4 linked regions of the Arabidopsis thaliana genome follow. The protein of the gene in region 4 interacts with the protein of the main gene of each other region in a biochemical or structural test. Each region holds a gene or a part of one and is shown on either strand. Other genes may lie near its edges. The genes, in order: SIP4, AT4G34840, CIPK9 and CBL3.

What was found.
Region 1: of the proteins of CBL3 (region 4) and SIP4, one has a biochemical effect on the other in vitro, tested with the Arabidopsis thaliana proteins (one study listed by BioGRID).
Region 2: the proteins of CBL3 (region 4) and AT4G34840 form a complex in vitro, tested with the Arabidopsis thaliana proteins (one study listed by BioGRID).
Region 3: the proteins of CBL3 (region 4) and CIPK9 form a complex in vitro, tested with the Arabidopsis thaliana proteins (one study listed by BioGRID).

The regions. Positions count from the first base shown.
Region 1 is NC_003071.7:12,936,458-12,940,584, forward strand, and holds SIP4 (SOS3-interacting protein 4), read right to left. Parts: upstream 2,378-4,127; 5' UTR 2,116-2,377; coding exon 808-2,115; 3' UTR 522-807; downstream 1-521. Other genes in the region: CHAL (allergen-like protein), read right to left, coding at 4,120-4,127.
Region 2 is NC_003075.7:16,604,446-16,608,819, reverse strand, and holds AT4G34840 (Phosphorylase superfamily protein), read right to left. Parts: upstream 2,599-4,374; 5' UTR 2,522-2,598; coding exon 2,461-2,521; intron 2,388-2,460; coding exon 2,324-2,387; exon of another isoform or gene 2,257-2,323; coding exon 2,165-2,256; intron 2,077-2,164; coding exon 1,970-2,076; intron 1,871-1,969; coding exon 1,796-1,870; intron 1,665-1,795; coding exon 1,590-1,664; intron 1,473-1,589; coding exon 1,380-1,472; coding exon of another isoform or gene 1,365-1,379; exon of another isoform or gene 1,270-1,364; coding exon 1,072-1,269; 3' UTR 528-1,071; downstream 1-527. Other genes in the region: LAP5 (Chalcone and stilbene synthase family protein), read right to left, coding at 1-183, 288-471; MRL1 (Pentatricopeptide repeat (PPR) superfamily protein), read left to right, coding at 2,826-3,152, 3,289-3,979, 4,098-4,323. UniProt on the Arabidopsis thaliana protein: Enzyme of the methionine cycle that catalyzes the irreversible cleavage of the glycosidic bond in 5'-methylthioadenosine (MTA) and S-adenosylhomocysteine (SAH/AdoHcy) to a lesser extent, to adenine and the corresponding thioribose, 5'-methylthioribose and S-ribosylhomocysteine, respectively.
Region 3 is NC_003070.9:63,640-69,604, forward strand, and holds CIPK9 (CBL-interacting protein kinase 9), read right to left. Parts: upstream 3,987-5,965; 5' UTR 3,874-3,986; coding exon 3,685-3,873; intron 3,259-3,684; coding exon 3,196-3,258; intron 3,111-3,195; coding exon 3,039-3,110; intron 2,919-3,038; coding exon 2,811-2,918; intron 2,704-2,810; coding exon 2,623-2,703; intron 2,522-2,622; coding exon 2,468-2,521; intron 2,226-2,467; coding exon 2,100-2,225; coding exon of another isoform or gene 2,094-2,099; intron 2,014-2,093; coding exon 1,924-2,013; intron 1,818-1,923; coding exon 1,692-1,817; intron 1,579-1,691; coding exon 1,471-1,578; intron 1,379-1,470; coding exon 1,262-1,378; intron 1,169-1,261; coding exon 1,112-1,168; intron 1,018-1,111; coding exon 931-1,017; intron 837-930; coding exon 759-836; 3' UTR 528-758; downstream 1-527. Other genes in the region: AT1G01130 (CBL-interacting Serine/Threonine-kinase), read right to left, coding at 1-172. UniProt on the Arabidopsis thaliana protein: CIPK serine-threonine protein kinases interact with CBL proteins. Binding of a CBL protein to the regulatory NAF domain of CIPK protein lead to the activation of the kinase in a calcium-dependent manner. Involved in K(+) homeostasis under low-K(+) stress.
Region 4 is NC_003075.7:13,407,883-13,412,663, forward strand, and holds CBL3 (calcineurin B-like 3), read right to left. Parts: upstream 3,189-4,781; 5' UTR 2,742-3,188; intron 2,287-2,741; 5' UTR 2,230-2,286; intron 2,148-2,229; 5' UTR 2,117-2,147; coding exon 1,993-2,116; intron 1,828-1,992; coding exon 1,745-1,827; intron 1,620-1,744; coding exon 1,560-1,619; intron 1,486-1,559; coding exon 1,365-1,485; intron 1,245-1,364; coding exon 1,111-1,244; intron 994-1,110; coding exon 881-993; intron 784-880; coding exon 726-783; 3' UTR 540-725; downstream 1-539. Other genes in the region: CBL7 (calcineurin B-like protein 7), read right to left, coding at 1-91; AT4G26580 (RING/U-box superfamily protein), read right to left, coding at 3,823-3,969, 4,060-4,417, 4,505-4,781. UniProt on the Arabidopsis thaliana protein: Acts as a calcium sensor. CBL proteins interact with CIPK serine-threonine protein kinases. Binds calcium ions. Binding of a CBL protein to the regulatory NAF domain of a CIPK protein lead to the activation of the kinase in a calcium-dependent manner.

The sequences.
Region 1 (4,127 bases), on a different chromosome or scaffold from region 4:
TGATGATGCTTTAATAATGATAATGATTCCTTAACCTTCACTCGTTTTGAGTTGTAATATCCAATCAAGTAGACAATAATAGCTTTTCTTTTTATAAAGCTGCAGATTTCAATTTTTGAAGTTCCCTGATTCTATACATACTTTTTAATGCTTTTTCTTCACTGGATGTGGAACTCCCATTTCAATCATTTCATTTGTTCAATAATACATTACACAAAGTTTTTCTTTCAAAAATGCTTTCAATTCTATACATAAATATTAAAGTGAAGAAGCCATATTTGATAAGCAGAAAAATGTATAGAATTGAAAGCCTTTTTGAAAAAAAAAAAAATGTGTAATGTATGGATTTTTGAGAGTTTAGATGAGTTTATGCGATTTAGAGATTATTTTATTTTAGTAATTTATCTACTTTTTATTTTCAATTCATTGGTTATTAATCTGATTTGGTTATCATGCACTTTAACTTAATACAATTTGCATGGTTGATTTTAAAAAGTAGTTATGTACAAATGTGTAAAATTGGAAAATCCAAACTATAAATAGAAGAACATTTTCTACATTATACAAAAGAGTGAAGTATCTACAAATGCAATTTTAGACTTGTTGTTGTACATAGTAACACATTGATCAAAAAGCACAAAATAGATACCTACAATTTGGTACAGTATTTAAATACATACATTAATTTTTATTATTTTTTCTCTGTTTTTAATTCCGAAACAAAAGTAGTAGAAACCAAATCCAACCAACGAAACGCGATTGGCGTTTTAAAATTGAAAGCACGGTAGAAAACTTCATAGCGTTCTTTTAAATAGCCGCGTTTGTTGACGACGTCTGATCGCAAACGCGAATAAGTTGAACCCTGAGTTTACCATTCCACATCTCCTTATAACAATCACCATCACCACCTCTCCGCCGTGCCTCCACCACCACAAGCAAATCATTCAACCGCGAAATACAAATCCCGATACCAAATTTCCCATTTTGCCCCTCCATCTCAAACCCATACTCTTCCTCCTTCTTCTTCTTCATCCTCAGATTCTCCTCTCTCGCAAACCCCTCCACTTCCTCCGCCAACATCTCCGGCGACTTTTCCGATAAAAACCTCTCCGATTCACCACTCGAATTACTACAACCAGCAAACAATCCCGACAAATCCAATCCCGACGAGTAAGAAATCAAATCAAACGCGTTTAAACTCTTCACAGCTTCTAGTGACGATTCCACTTTCTGATCTTCGATCTCGTCATCGTGGAACTTGATCTGTTTAAAACCTCCTCTAACAAACCAAGGATCTTTCAAAATCTCATCAATGGTGATTCTAGTCTCAGGATTAATATCTAAAAGACGAGAAACGAATCGTTTCAGATCTGGAGACATCCAACGAGGAAAACGATACTCTCCTTTATAAATCTTCTTATACATATTCATCACATTCGGATCGTTAAACGGTAAATAACCGGCGACGAGAACGAACAAGACGATTCCACAAGACCATACATCAACTTTAGCACCTTCATATCCTTTTTTAGATAGAATCTCCGGCGCAACGTACGCCGGAGTACCACACAAGGTATGTAACAACCCATCGGGTCGGATCTGATCCGTTAACGCGCTTAGACCGAAATCGGAAACTTTTAAGTTTCCGTTTTCGTCTATTAATAGATTCTCTGGTTTGAGATCGCGGTGGTAAACACCGCGAGCGTGGCAATAACCAACGGCGGAGATCAGTTGCTGGAAATATCTCCGGCTTAAATCTTCGCTAAGACGTCCATGTTTTGAGATTTTGTTGAATAGTTCTCCTCCTTTAACAAACTCCATTGCGAAGAAGATCTTTGATTTTGTCGCCATTACTTCGTGGAGCTTGACGATGTTTGGATGAGATAATCTTCTCATGATTGAGATCTCGCGTTTGATGTTGTTGGCTAGAGCTGGATTTGTGAGGAGTTTTTTCTTGTTGAGGATTTTCACGGCGACGCTTTGGCCGGTACGACGATCACGTGCGTGGAAGACTTTGGCGAATGCGCCGCATCCGAGAAGCTTTCCGAGCTCATATTTACCGAATAAGGCGTCGTTGTTGTCGCCGCTGCCGGCGGCAATCTCGATCTCTGGCATGATTGATGAATCCAGAGATTGATTGATGAATAAGAAAACTTCGCCGGAGAATTTGAATCTGTTTCGTTTGCGCGTAATGCAGATGTGATGAACACGTAAGCTAATTCTTCTTCTCTTTTTTTTTTTTTGGTTTTGTTGTGAATTTACTTTTTATGGAATAAGAAATTTGAAAGAAAGTGGTTTAGGTATTTAAATGGTGGAGAAGTGATGGCGTAACGCGGAAGCTTTTAAAAAGATAAGTTCGATAGAATAATAATGGATTAAGGGTATAAAGGAATTAGAGTTGCCTAAAAAAGGAGTTTAACTGAAGCACTATTATATGTAACCGTTACAGAATTTGTTTGTTGTCAATTAAAAAAATAAAATGTTAAAGTTTTTTTAACCCAAATTTTATATATGTGAAGCAGTGAAGGTTTACTGTTATAATTAACTGACACAACTACCTGAGCACACAATCCATCTATTCAACACATGAAGCCAAATTTAGCCGATAATGTAATTGATAGTCTTCACATAAAGCAACTGTTCTTGAGTCGATGCATATGTATATCTAGTTCCTTAAATCATATAGTTTTTTCATTTTGTACAATCGATCTACAGACTACAGTGTACACCTAATTATTACGTGGTTTTTGTACTCACTCAATTATTATGTTGTCGATAGTTTCTACTTTATTTCCTCTGCCTACGTGTCATGATCTTATCACTTAACTTACTCTGATCATAACTCTTCTCGTACTTTTTACATCTAAAACTATTCAGAATCTTGTAGTATTATAGTTAGAAGAATGTACATCAATAAATAATTGTTTCGTATATCAGTTATTTGCGTGTCTCATCGTATATGGTTGTTTTTTTATTCAACTCTTAGGTAATGAAGAATTGAAGATAGCGACTTGGTTAGTAACTTATACTAACAAAACATGTTCCACGAGGTAATGGCAGGTGTCTCTCACACACGTGGCAATATCCGAACGGTGGAACAAGTCGACGCGGCGCCGGCTTCAAGCTGGACGGTTCTGGATCGTGGGCCGGCTGTTGAAAAATCGGTGCTGAGATATGTTTCTATTTTATTTTATTTTTTAATAATCGCTGATTGCAGACTAATTATTTCTCTATTGTTTGATCTGATTGACTAATTATTTATCAGTTATAGACTAATAGCCAGGAAATAATAACCTTTGCTCGCGTCGGTAATTTGATTATTTTTCTAACATAGAATAAGAAAGAACTTTGCACCAAAAAAAAAAAAAGGAATAAAGAACATGGGCCGTACCATATTCACATCCTGATTAAACTTTCGTCTTTACATAAAAAACCTTTCAATAAGAAAGAAGAATCAGTCAGTCAATGACTGCGACTTTAAAGAAAAAAAATGACCGCGAGTCTGCGACTTTAAATCCTTCAAACTTTTATATATGGGCTATGTGTGAGTGGTGTAAGGTGTATTTGGATACGTAATACGTTATACGTTAGCATATGTTTTCTTGAATATTATCAGTGTGTACGAATAGATTAAATTGAACGAGCTGAGACTACAGAATTTAAATGAAATCAACGAGTCCCGCAGACAGATGTTAATAGTTTACTTATATGTATATGCTAAGAGTAATGTTATTGGGCTTTTGGTTTATTTATGTTAGTCCATATGTTTATGAGCCTAAACCTATGTGATACTTATTAGAAAGCGAGTACGTTTTTTTATTTTTTGTTCATTATAAGCAAGTACGTTGAAGAAGAAGACAAGAAATATGTTTCCTTTTGACACCAAATGTTGATATTATTCATGAATTATGTCACCATATACGAAATCATATGCTAAGAACGTCATATCGTCTATACGAGCATCATCAATCAATTTATCAGCAAAAGTTTCACGTTGAGGTTGTCCTAGCAACATGTCAATGTATAATAAATATTTGGAGTAGAGGCAAGATATAACTACGAACATGCATATAATTCATATATATAATGTATATATGTGAGTATATATATTATAAAAGATCATGGCA
Region 2 (4,374 bases), 3.2 Mb from region 4:
TAGAACGTCCCCAGTTCTTGATGCAGGCTCTGGAGGCTTCTACTGCCATCTCGGTCACTGCATCGTTGCAGATGTCTAGACGCTGCGTCACTGTGGATCCTCCTTCAATGGCAAGTTCTGGGTACTTCTTGAGAATCTCCTCTGACATCACAACATACCTTGTCTTCACCGTTGTTGTCTTGCCTGTATATAGTAAACGAACAGTTCAAACAAACCTCAGTTGCTGTTGCAGGAGCTTACAGAATGAGATAAAAAGTTGAAAACAGAGGTTAAAATGAAGAGATTACAGAGACGAGTAAGTTTCTGTTTGAGTTCAGGGTCATCACACTTGGTGGTTTTGAAGTAGCCATCGACTAAGTACTCTTGCATTACTAGCTGGTGAGGAAAGGCTTTTCCCAGAGCAAGAATTGTGGCTTTTCCCGGGTTTGATTTCTTCTCTGAACCCAACACTGCAGCATCGATGCTTCCCATTTGTATCTGTTTGTTGAAGACTCAAATCTTGGGTCTGTAAATAAGGTTCAAAGTGAAGGCATATATATACACTGCAGCTTTTGCAGTTTTGTGACCTGCATATTGTGCGGTATTTCTGTCTAGTTGATATTTGGTGAAGAGTAGGTGTGAGATTTAGAAGCTTCATGTTTATTGCATTGGCTCTTTCTAAAATCCAACTCCAGTTCTTTGAGATTTTTTTCTTGATACATAGTCTTTAGGCTTAGTTAAAAGCCAACACAAAGGTGTGTTATAGTTATAGTTGTTTTGTACATCTTCACACTTAAAAAGAATGAAAGAGAAACTAACTAAATTTTTTCTTCTGTTAACATCAATCATTCGAAATTGATATTAAAGAATTATGACTCTGTTGTTGGGTATCAAATTTGCTGAGTTTCTACATGTATGATGGATCATCAATAGAAAGACAGCAAAAAGAAATAGAGGAACAAATGAGAAAAGGTGAAGAGTTGAAATTTCTGCTCAAACCTATTCCCTACCTACGCCCTTTGCTTGAATCTTCATATGCTTTCTTCGCCCAATGCACATACTGAACAGATGAAACTTAATACGTATGACTTGTTAGAGGTCTGAGAGACATTTCCCACTGATGAAGTCAATCACTTTGGTAAGTGACTCATCAAGTTTGGCAGTGACTGCAGCTAAGTTCTCCAAAAATTCTTCAGAAGTTGGTCTATTGCCATCCACAATATCAGTCACACCTTTTATTAGAATCGTAGGCACTTTAAAGATATCAGCCACATAGGCCACTGCTGCTCCCTGAAATGCCAAGAATCCGTAAATAAGTCGTAGTAACTGATAAAGACACAAAGACAAACACATAGTATGGAGCCAGGTACATCAACACAGGAAACTTATGGATTGTTGACCTCCATATCTTTAACTGTAGCATCATTTGCTGTGATGGATTCTTCGTCATGTGGAGACATATCCATAGAATCGCCAGTGGATAATCTTCCCACCTGGGAACATTGCAACTAAATCATAAATCTACCACTTATGCAAACCATATCAAGAAATAACCAAAATCTTGCATGAGGATCAAATGGTGAACTCAGAGCAACTAATAAAGTATACACCTTTAGGTTCAGCTCCTTTATAAGGTTGGGTGTGGGGAAGGTGTTCCGCATACCAACACCATATATATCAAGGACCTGCAGAAAGTATAAAAATGTTTAGGAAAGGGCAAAAATATATGGAATTAGAATGCAAGTATAACACTCAAGAACATCAGGTTTACTTTGCAACTCATACTGATACATGAACAATACAAAGGAGCACTTACAGGAACAGGTATTCTTCTGTCATGGAAAGCAACAGTAGAGACAACATAAACATCGCTAATACATGCTCCTTTGGCCTGAAAAGACCATTTAAAAACAAGGAAGGGTGTTCATTATTTCTGACACATAAGAGGCATGAAACGAGAACTATGTAGAGAAATTTGTAATGTTGATACCTTAAAGCCACCAGCGGTTCCCGCATTAATGATTAAGTCTGGTTGAATTGCTAGAATGGAAGCATAAGTCACGAGTGATGCAGGAACTGTGCCAACACTCTCAACCCCTGAAAAACGAATTAACATCAAGAACTTCACAAAACATCTTGAAACACTATTTCACTTACAATCACTTAACCACATGGATACACATACCAAGAGTTGAATCTTTTCCAGGACACACTATATTGATGTTCAAGTCTTTATACATTCCCTTAAACATAATCCAAGTCACCTCTTTTGGAAACCTACAAAAAAGCTATCACATTTGATTTCGAATCAAAATAAAAAATTGAAAGAGGTCAAAGAACTCACGGAGTATTAACTTCTTCAACGAGGCGTAATCTGTTGATCAGAGGCTGAGCTTCCTTTTGCATAGCTTTTAATACACAAACCCATTAGAAGAAGAAAAAAAAATCACAATTCGAGAAATAGTAAAGACAAAATAGTACCAACGATGAAGACGATGGTAGAAATCGGCCGTTTCTCTACCTGACCCATAACACCTTCCATAGCAGCGTCTGAGAATCCGTCGCCGGCGATTCGTCAAGATCAAATTTCTAGATTTCCCCCGGAAAACAAAAACCCGGATCCGACCCGAATCCTATCCACTACTCGGACCCAGGCCCAATAAAATTTTAGCATAATTAATAAAATATGTTTTTTTTAATATAAACAACGTTGACGACTTGACGGCCGTTTATGCCACGTAAGCAAGGGGTCCACAATGCGAAGAAGAGAGTCGTTCGTTATTTCATATCCTCACTTCCTTCTCTGAAGCTTTATCCTCTAATCGTTTTCTCTCTAAGCCTCTCCAATGGAGGTTACCTCCACCACCTTCATCTCCACTACCAGATCTTCTAAATACCTTACCTTAACTTCGTACTCTCCGGTGATTCTTCCGGCTTCTACTCTCCGCCGTGATTTTCTTGGTTGTTGTCATAGTCTCCGTCCTTCTCCTCATCTTCGAACTCGCGCCGGGAAACGCAATTCTCGTCGTTCTTCAATTCGATCGCCTCGTTTAGTTGTTAGAGCTTCTATCGATTCTGGTTTGATTCTTATTGTTGTTGCTGTCACTGCGTTCTCTGCCATTGCTTTCGCTTATTGCCAAAGTACTTTCAGGAAGCGGAAATCTTCCGATGAGGTAACTGAAATTTCTGAGCGAAGGGTTTTGCTTGTTTTAACTAATTTTTAAGTTTTGTTTCATTAGAGTGCATAAAGTTGCTGACTTTTTGTAAAATTCGATAAGAATTCTGGTTCTGACTAGCTAAGCTTTTCAGGTTGCAACGGTTCATGGCGGAAAAAATAGTGCTGAGAATCGGCGGGAAATTCATGGAGATATTCATGAAGGCAATCCTGTGGAAATAAATGTAGGTTTCAGAAAGGTAGAGGAAGAAAGTGTGAATCTTTTGGAGGAAGAAAAGGCTCATCAAATCCATGAAGTTGCTGTGATGGATTATGATTCAGTTTCAGCTGAGGATTCTCAGTTTGCTGTTGCTAGTGTGACCACAGTTGCCACGGCACATACCTTAATAGATGAATCCTTTTCATCTTCTATTGTTAATGGGTCTGTTGCTTTGGAATCAGCTACCTTTGGAGTAAAAACACCTGAAAAACAAGTTGGAAATAGCGAAGATCAGAAGGGTTTGGAGCATGATTTTTCACAGGCAGTGGTGGGAATTCATTCGATTGCTTCTCCACAGGTGGTAGATGATACACGTGCTCTAGAGTATGAGTACAATGGTTTGCTCCAGAAGCCTCTCGAGTACAGCATCTTTGCCGAGAGTAAGAGAGAAGAGATTCACACATTCTATGGGTCTAATCATTCATCAGCCAAGTCATCACGGTTGCCAAGTCTTAAAGCCGTCTCTCCTGCTGTTACTTCTGCAACTAATAGTTTATTCCTGGACCACAAGAACAATGGAGTAATTGATACTCAGTTCCCAGGACAGAGTTCTGGTCAGGCTACTGGTACGTTGACAATGTTGTACTTACTGTGTCAGATTTGACACAATCTTATGTTTGCTTTCTAAGAAGCTTGCATTGCCAATCCATTACAATGTTTCCTTAAAGTTAATTTCCGTTTCAGGTGATGTGCAAGAAGAAAACCTTGTGGCACACAGTAACGGTGGTGTATCCCACATTAGGAAAGATGTTAAAGGAGACTGGAAATTTCCAAGTGATGGGAAGCATGTGGGTCACCAAATTGATGAAAGCATGCCCCAGTTCCCTGCTCGAAATTTTGAGCTACATAATAGTAATGGACGTTCTCCAGAAACTAGTGATGCTTACAACCGTTTACTTAGAGATGGAAGGTAATAAGTTTTATCTGGTTTGAATCTTGGCTTTCCTTTCCTTCCTCTTCT
Region 3 (5,965 bases), on a different chromosome or scaffold from region 4:
ACGCTGTTTCCTTGTCTGAAACCCTAGATTCGATCTCTTTCGGTTGATTCGATCTCGCGTAATCAGATTCTGGTGAAGTGGGAACAGAAACCATTACGATTCTTTCTTCCGGAGGAGGTGAATCCCAATCACCCAAAATCTCTACACTCTCTGAATCTGAACGTTTCTCCATTCTTAAAAACTTTGGAATGCGAAATTTGCGACTTTATGGGCTTTACGGGCTGTTTGATTTGAAAGATTAGACAACTCACACAACTTATTGGGCAATTAACGTTGGTCTGCTCAACACCAACTCCTCACTAGAAACCACTCCGTCATCAATGTGTGACTGTACATCAAAATAAAACTTTTTTTTTTTGGTTGCAAACGTAGATCTATGTAGCTAAGATAACCTCTCTTTAATAATTCTATCATTGTGTTTTCCAAATTGTTATATATGTTGTGTCATTGTAACGCGTTGCCATAAAGCGACAACATCGTTGCAACTTTCAACTATACTCAAATAGCCAGCTTGCAGAGTATTTTTTGCCTAATTGAATTGTTTGAACTTTGATTTATAGGTTTCAAACCGAGTTTGAGGATGATCACATATGTGGCTATTGACTAACCTATGGTGATCTACCTCTATAGACCACTTCTAGTTCTAGTTTGGCTCTTTTGTCAGCAATACTTGTATATTGCCAACTCCAGAATGTTTACTATTCATTATACATGTTCAACATTGATTAAAAACTTTGAATTGAACAACTTGTTATTTCTTATTGCTTTTGTTCTTCAGCGGCTGCATCAGTATTCCAGACTACATCCTTTAATCCAGATGAGAAGTTTTTGTAGAACTGCAAAAGAGATTCAAACATAAAACCAATTTAAACACTAAACTAGAGATGTTAACCGGATCAAAACCGAACCGGTTTTTGATGAAGATCAAACCGAATCACATACCTTGTGAAACTCGAGGGTATCACCACCGGTTTTCCTAAGCTCTACCACATGCAATGATGGCGCCACTTCAAACACCTATTAAACCGATTACCAAACCATAACAATTAGATAACGATATTCATCAAAATCCAAAAACCGAACTGAACCGGAGTATTTTTTTCTTTCTTACCTCTGTAGCTACGGAGAGCTGACCTTTACGACCACTTTTGTCTCCTTTCATTTTTATCTGCGAAGTTTACTTAAACAATGTTTAACGAAGCTACAAAGACATTAGTTGACACAAACAAAATCAAGAAGAAGAAGAAGAAGAAGAACAGACCTTGTAGTTGTCTTTACGGACATTAAAGCCTAATGGCTTTGCGGTTTCTTCCATTTTCGACATTATTTCACTCGCAGATCGTTGAGAAGTAAACCGCGTTTCTTTCTTCACAAGTTGCTGCAAACAACAACAAATCAGATTTAGTTAGATAAAACCTATGCATGATTTTAGAAAATCAAGACAAACTGTAAGTAGAAAAAAGTTCTTACCGCTTGCTTCTCGAACAAGTTTTCAAGACTGAACTCGCTTGAGCTAGAGATAAGTTCGAAAGCGTTCATGGATACAGGTTTCTCCTTCTTCTCAGTTACAAGACATTCCTAGAGTAGCAGCACAAAAAGAGTGATATTAGTTGGTAACAATACATTGGTTTACTTAAACCGAACTATGATATACACAACCAGATGGAGAATTTGGAAATGGCGGTGTTTACCTTGGAGTTACTAAAAGCAGCATCAACATCATCTATGGTTATGTCCTCGTCATCTTGGTCAAATGATGGCGGCTTGTACCCTTTCTTGAACCATTCATCTTCGAGCAACTCTGCAATACTTATTCTCTGCATTTCAGAAATAAGTACATACTTAAGCTCTTGCACAATCTATGGTTGGCAGCATGTCATGTTCACATTTTCACAACTATTACTTCATGTAAGAGGCACTTACGGTAATAGGGTTGGGTTCGAGAATACGCTTGATGACTCTCTTGGCACCTTGCGAGAACCATGGTGGGCAGCTAAACTCAGCCTTGCATATCTAAAGTATATATTAAACACCAAAGATGAGACTAGAAAAGTACTGCAGAAGATCAAGAAGCAGAGGGAGAGATAATTTACACGTACACGTTTGTATAATGTCATGAGATTCGGCTCATCAAAAGGCAAGTAACCAGCCATAAGCACAAAGAGAATGACACCACAAGACCAGACATCTGCTGCTGCACCGTCATAGCCTTTGTCCGACAAAACCTGCCAGCAAATCCAACACAATGCAGTAGACAACATTAAAGGCATATCTCTTATATACATCATAAATAAAGAAGATTCTGCAAATGAAGTCTATATATACGTATAGCATTTGTTAGATTTCCTTCCTTTTTAAAAACGTATTAGCAGTTCTTGAATTCCTTAAAATCTTATTTTCCAAAGAGGATCTACAGAACATTTCATATTCTTTGCCTTTTTAAGTGCTGAAAGTTAGTACATAATACCTCAGGGGCAACGTAGTTTGGCGTTCCACAAGCTGTATGAAGCAAACCATCTTCCTGCATTCAAAAGAACAATGCTTAGAACACTTCATTCAAATTGATATCTTGGTTATATATATCAGAAATTAATTGCCAAGTGAAAAATATAATGGCATTACCCGAACTTGTCGTGAGAAGGCGCTTAACCCAAAATCAGAGACTTTCAAAACCCCATTTGCGTCAAGGATCAGATTTTCAGGCTGCAACAAGGAACAGATGATAACAAAAGAAACTTGAATAAGAACTAAGAAGAATGAATATCGTAATCACAGGAAACAAGAAGAGTGCACAAAAACAAAAGAAAGACCTTGAGATCTCTGTGGTAGACACCTCGACTGTGGCAGTAATCCACAGCATTGATGAGCTGCTGAAAATATCTCCGAGCTTCATCCTCCTTAAGCCTCCCTTGTTGCGCCTATGTATATGATTTAAATCCAAGAATTAACATAAGAGTAAGAAGAGAGAAAGACAGAGAACATATGTCAATATTTGTGAAGAGAAAAGAGAGGAAGATTCTCTAAGTTAGGTTACTTACGATTTTATCAAAGAGTTCACCTCCATTGACAAGCTCAAGAACGATATAGATCTTCGTTTTGCTCGCCATAACCTACCACAGAGAGATGTTTTACACGCTAAGATTCAAAACTTAATTTAAAAAATATCTAAGGAATGATAACTAATTAGTTTCGTACCTCAATGATTTCAACCACATTTGGATGTTTAATCAGTTTCATTGTAGATATTTCTCTTTTAAGCTGCACAACAACAAAAAAATAAAACTTTATGATCATTATATCTTCGAGATCTTGCTCATAACTTCCAATCATACATATATAGCATACAAAACTAAATCTTCAACAGATTCAAATCGAACCAAATCAAAAACAAAGCTACTCGAACTTCAAAACCATATCCATATCATAGTTAATAGTTATCTTGATCAATGCGTACTAAGATCAGCATCGTGTAGATATATACAGAAACAAAAACATTCATACAAAATTCGATATTTTAAAATATTATTGTTAACACTTTAATCAAACATTAACCTTAATAACCGAACACCAACCTAGGAGGACATGTGGGTCCCTAATCACGAAATTAAACTGTTCTTTATAGTACTTAAAAACAAACAAATCCATAATCATTTTACGTGATCAAACCAAACACAATTAACGAACCTGTTCGACCATTTTGTGACGGAAGACCTTTTCTCGGTCGAGGATTTTGATAGCGGCTTGATCTCCGGTGACGGTGTTCTTGGCGTATTTCACCTTAGCGAAGCTTCCTTCTCCGAGAGTTCGTCCCATCTCGTAATTCCCTACTCGCGTCCTACTCGCCGGCGTCGCCTTCCTTCTGCTTCCACTCATTTTCTTTTTCCGATTAAGAAAATCAACGGCTCTAGATCGGCGGCGAATCTATCAATGTGATTCTTCTCCCTCAATATCTCTCCTTCTTCTAGTGGCTGCCTGGTTTTAAGGCTGACGAGAGAAAGTGGACGAGCGAGAGATTTAATAGGCGCGACTGGGAGTCACGCGCGTATTGTGGGTCCCGTATGCCACGTAATGTCAAAAATCATTATTTTGCTCTGTTCCGCGTCAGTCCCGTGTTATTTGTACTTGTGTACGTTCGTAACGTTCATTCTTCATTCATATAAAAAAATTCCATAATTTTGTTCTTGTGTGGTAACTATATACAGAAACTCCTGTTTAAGTATATGGATTTTATGAAAATTTTGGGGTTTTAAATTTATGTGGATATGGTTTTATTTGTAAGGGATGTGATTTGATGTCCTTAATCTTTATGTGTATATGAGTATATCTTTCAGTGATTCATTCCATTCTACTGATGTTCAAAGTTGACTGTTATCATATTATTTGATATAGTTGTATTCTTTTCATGTAGAAATATTCTCTAAATATAACTTTTTTTTTTGTCTTTAGTTAGAAGTTGGAAACTACCTAAGAACAATAAATACATATATCAAATGTTGGTAGTTAAATGATGATTGTTATATCTTGGTCAAATTTTGTTTAAATCTATGATAATATTCGCATATACTTACTTTTGTTTAAATTTGATGTAGCTGTTTATTTTTGTTTGTAACGGTTCTAAATTTGATTATTTAAAGTATATGATAATAAATAAATAGATAATTGAAATAGTTGATCTTTCCATGTGACGATGTGAGTAAAGGGAACGGTATGAATATGAACCCCACATATCCTTCCTGATAAACTCAGAGATTTCACAGAATGTGATAATGTTTTTATTTTTCTTCTTTCCTTTATTTGTTTCTCTTATTTTCTTTCATATGATAATGCCAAAATACGCAGAAAAATTAAAAAAGTGTGGCAGACAGTGTGAGTTGATGATTTATTGCATGACTAGTAATAATGATACAATAATTTTTTAGATATGTTAGTATATTACGAACAAAAGAAAATGCAAATAATGCACAATGAACCACTCGTTCCAATAATTGAGTCCGGTACAAAAACATCACGTCACCATCATATGAAAGCAATTCATTTGGTTATCAATTTGAACTTCTTCATTCCACATTTTTTTTATTTTCCTGGTTATGAGTTGGAACTTATTGGATTATATGGATTAAAATTTAAAACCTATATAAACCAAACTATTATTTGGTTTGATTTTGTATTTACTTTCGGTTTAGCTTGGTTTGTAGATAGTTCGAGTAGACCGAACATCCGAGTCCTACATATATAAGAAAGATTGGCCCATTAACCAAATTTAGGCTTGATTGTGAATTAACATTAGGGCCCAACTAAAATACTTTTTTTTTTTTTTGCCATCCAATAACATTATTATCGCATATGTTCCGCATCATCGTTTACACAAATGATCAAATTGACCAAGTTAAGTTTCTTTTCTCTTTTTCTACATAATATTTGTTATTTAAAGCATTTGTATAAAATTATATACTGATAAGTGATGGTATATTCAATAATTTGTGTTTGTCTTTTTGTGATACAATTAATTATCCTTTATGGTTCCATTTTTTTTTCGTTGACAACGTTGAACAAAGATGGTCAAGGGGCCTAACTGTTTCTCACACAGTTTCCTTTCAGGGTTTAGTATTTGCCGTTTTAGTAACGAAGTTAGAGATTCATACGTATAATTATAAATAGTAGAGTCGGGTCAGATTGTGTTTCTTATCTAATTGTTATATATATAAAATTTGATAAAGCATATAATGTCTTGAAAGATTCAATCGTGAAATATGTGTACAAATATGTAAAATCTAGTTGCACCGCACGGCACCTTTTTTTCCTTCCTCTCCCACGTTTATTCTCGCCTCGTAACAGAAATTATAACTTGGAGTACTATTATAAAATACCTCAATAATTTTAGTTCTAAAAACATGTATATCTAAATCTAAACCATTGTGTATTTTGGAGTTGTAGGAGTTTTTTTTGTAGTAATTTAGTAATACAT
Region 4 (4,781 bases):
TCTTAAACACCTCATAGAGTGCCTTTCGCTTTTTCTGATCCGTAAAGCATCCCGTGGAGTTGGAAGAAGCTGAATTTCTTGTTGAATCCATGGAGAGTCGTGTAGATAGAAACTTTTTAGCCAAGAAAGAGAGAACAAATCGATGATCAAAAAAAGAGATTGTCAACGCGCTCTGATACCTATTCAGATCTTTGAGACAGGGAAAACATATATATTAGGAAAGACCGAAAGAGTAAGTAATTTATTCCTCAAAGTAAACGTGTTTATGCAGAACACAATCGTCACTAACTTTGCTAATTACTTTGTCAACTCTAACTGACAAAGTCAACCACAAGACTAACAAATCCGATTGTTGTAATGTTGCATCCGGTTCGATCAAATCGGTGATTTCAATTTTGACTTCAGAATTCAGACTAGAGCATACCCGATCATTTGGTGTTGGGTTCTCTCTTTTTTGCTCTCTATTATCACTTCATCAGTTTGCTCTTTATTAATAGGATTCATGTCTCAAGGTTAGTAGTATATCTACAGATGCGAGGAGAAAATCAGCAATCAAAATCAGGAGTAGCAAAAATACAGATTTGTTTTCTTTACTTTTAATTCACACAAGTAACAACAAAATCTTGAAAATGTTCAGAGAGATTGAAACAAATAGACATGATACATAATCAGAAAACAAACACAATTCCCAAATTGTCTCCTCTGCTAATATGCTATTGTTTTTCTCAGGTATCTTCCACCTGCGAGTGGAACACAAAGCTCGGAAATGTAGTTGTTATATCCCTGCACACAATATCAGAGATCGGTGTTAATAATAACACAGAAAAAATTGGAAGTTGCATTGCCTAAACCTCGGATAAGTCTTGGTTTAGGAACTCACTTAAGATACTGGAGAGTCATATTCTTTAGAAGGGAAGGATGCCTGAGAACAAGGGTTCTCCACTCTTCCTTATCGATCCTCCCGTCATGTTTTGTATCAGCTTCCTCAAATGTCTGTGAAAGAAGAAACTTAGAAACCACTCTTTACTTTATTCTCAACTGCTATCATGAGTTGGCTATACAACAGTGGAACAAGAATATAGTATCGAGCAGGGTAGGAAGGAACCACACCTTGTCGATTATACTCTCTATGATTTCGTCTGACAGGTTCATGCCGGACTCAGCAAGAGTAGCCACCACCATTTGCTTCACCTCTTGCCTCTCTATGAAACCTTGCTGCTTAAGATCATATAGCTGAAACGAAACTGCAAAACAATGTTCCCGGTAACTGTTAGTGATATTTCATGGGTTACATGTAGCATGTCAACATCAGATAAATTGTATAGATGGTTTCTCAGATCAACTTTGTAAGATCAAAGACGTACAGTCAATCTTGTCTTCTATGGGAGCATTTGGATGAAAGACAGAGAGAGCACGCGCAAACTCCTCAAACCCCAGTATTCCATTATGCTTTGTGTCAAACAAATCGAATACCTGTGATTGGTACTGTCAAGTTATCTTTCAAAAAGGATCTTGGCAAATGGATAACAAAGTCTTTTGATTAAAAAAGAAGAACATACCCGGTCTGCAAACAAGCTCTCTTTTTTATTTGTCTTGAACAAGGCTAACTGAAATTCTTCCTGAACGACAAGACAGGTCAAGGAAAATCAGAAAAGGATGTCCAAAAGACGTAGCAATATGCATGATTCGTGAGGAGTATAAGTGAGTGGCATAAAAGACATATAATGATGCCCTTCCTTCATACCTTGTTTATTAGCCCATCATCAATCACAGCACTGCTGATTTTCTTAAACAGCTCATAGAGAGCCTCTATTTCACTCACGCTAACTGCACCCAAACGAGTCAATGATCAAAACACAGAAAGAAAGATTTGCATTCCTCTTAACAGAGAGCATCAACTAGAGTAATGGCAAGCCTTTGAATCATACATATAACTGGAAAAAAAAAGTGCATGGAAGTTAAAATAAGATGGAAAAGAAGTTGAGAGCATACAAACTGTCTCTCTCGCAAGAAGTTCAGGGTCACCAAGGCCTCCAGATTGTTTGTAAATATCGATATCAAAACACCGGAAAAAAGAGGAGCATACATGCTTGAAACCGTCTATGCACTGCGACATGATATATCTTGTAAATCAAAACTCTCCATGCCTGTTAAATAACAATAAAATGTAAGAACTTTCGAACCACTTGGAAGAATCTAAAGACATATGCATTTGAACAAGATAAGTACCTTTTAACCATTTCCTGGTTCGTCAAATAGGCAATGCTTTGTACACCTCAAAAAATTCTGCGATGGGAAGGAAATGAGATATAGTCAGTTATTAGCTCATCAAATTGCAAAACAGTTAAAGAAGAATTGACAGGAGCAAACAAGATTCATCATTCTCAGATCAGATCTGAATTAGACTAAAGCACCAGATACTATGAAACACAAACAGAGGAGACGCATATTATAAACGGTCGTAAACTTTATGCATTAATCTTAACTCCAGATTCATTTCCAGATTAACCAATGTATTCATGGATTAGGAACTATCTTTAAGCTAAAACACGAAACCCAAATCTAAGAAACAGCCCCAAAAAATACATGAACTAGGATAAAATGAGGAATCAAAAACACCCAATTTCACGTCAGAAATGCATCATGAATTTTGCGGGGAAAAAAAATGCATCATGAAGAACATAATAAAACTATCCAGACGGATTAATCGTCAGAAAATATAATCCTCTGAGGATCGACACCTGAATCTAATCGCGATATGAATCAGAGAAGTGATTAAGCTAAGGAGAAATGACGGATATGAGAAAAAGCGATCCAATGAGTTTTAGATTCCAAATCGTTCGGATTCAGAGATACAACAACGATGAATCTCGTTATATAAACTTGGTAATCAGCTCATGGATCTATCAGCTTGCGAAGAAATTAGTTGCTTGATTCTCAATCTCAAATTTTAACTTGTTTCCCATCGCGATTTTCCCGGAATAAACACACGAGATTACGAGGAAGCGACCGACCGCGAAATCGTAGAAAAGGGAGAAAGAGAAGAAGAAAAAGCCTTACGCCACGGCGGATGATGAGCCTTCCTTGCGGCGGCTCCGGCGGTTGAAGGTGACGGTGGTTGCGGTGGAAAACGCGAAAAAAGCTCTTATTGGGTAAGTGAGAGAAAAAAGGTCGACACGATTTTCTATAAGCAGAATGAATATATTGCAAAATTTTAAATATGCTAAGAAAAAGACCAAATTATTTTTGTTTGTTGGCGTTTTTATACTTTTTAAATTTAAAAAATAAATAATTTTGTTTATTTTTACTCGATGTTGATACAGTTGTAATAAAACTCCTTGTTACATTCACTTTCACACGTCGTCGTCTAGTGGAGCATGTGTCCATTTATGCGCTGTCTTAAACACCATCGTTTCAATAATCGTTCCTATACGACGGCGTGTCATGTTATTCGGATTCTGACTGTTGCTTTGGTCTGATTTGGTCTCTGGGTTTGAATTCGGTTTAAATTGTCTTTGGAAAAAATATTATAGCAAAAACCAGTATAAGCTTAGTTACATTAACCAACAATTAAAACTTTGATTAATGGTAAGAGAGGGACAAACTCTACTGGTAAAACAACAGATTGATCATGTTTTTTAACTTTTTTTTTAGGTAAAATTACAGTTACTGGTGAGCTACTTTGTACACAAGAAAAAAAAAGGAATGATAACGACATTCACACAAGTAAACGTGTTTAGGCGGCAACAGAAAAAAAAAAAAACACATATATGGTACTTGGTCAGAGATTCAATCTTGTGACTCATGTATTGTTTTGATTTTTCAGTTAGGGAGATCTTGTTTGCAAAGAGGACAACACGAGATGATACGAAGCCATTGATCTACGCATTTGAGGTGAAACCTATGCGAACATGGAAGCTTTCTCACTTCTTCTTTCTCTTTGTACTTTGCCAAACATATACAACATTCCTGCAATAATGAAACCGGTGGGTTTCAGTTTTGATATCAAGATTGATTTCTGACTATTTGACCTATTTCAGAATTCAAATTAGTGCTTACCGGATCATTGTTTGCTTGAGAAGAATCAGAAGTTTCATCAATGAGTTTGTATTTCCAACTTGGGAGACTGGAGATCTGGTCATCTGAAGCTCCTTTTTCCGAAGATCCAACGTTCATGTTGTAGCCGAGGAAGCTACTAACGAGAGGTACAACACAACAGAGCAGGAGGAAGAGAAGAAATGGGAAGGAGTAACAGAGAGCGTTCCAAGCGAGTAGGGAGATGCAGAGGACATGAAGGATTGGAGCATAGTGGAAAGAACCAAACCGAGAATCAAAAACCCATACATTACCTATCACAAACCATATCGCAAAGAATAGCTCCAGCGATGTCCGGCATTTGTTCATCAAATGCGAGCACCTAAAACACACACAAAAATAAGTCATTTTCCTAGAAATCTTTGCATTTTATGATCAAACTTGAAAAAACTAGATTTTTGTTAGTAACCTGGTGGTCTCTTCCCTGCTTCTTTGTTGCTGCTCAATATCGCCGAAGCTAAATGCATTTTCATGGCTAGTATCTTGCTGACGATACCGACCGTATAGTAACATAAGATTGAGCAGACATCCAACGTTGTAGCCAGTGATCCATAACCTCATCGGCCAAACAGGCCTCTCGTTTTTGGACAAAGCTAGTGTGGATGTTATCACAGTGATCTGTAAAAGTAAAGCGATGAGCTCTGATACCATCCAAGCGATAGAATTGAAAGGATTGGTGCCAAGAT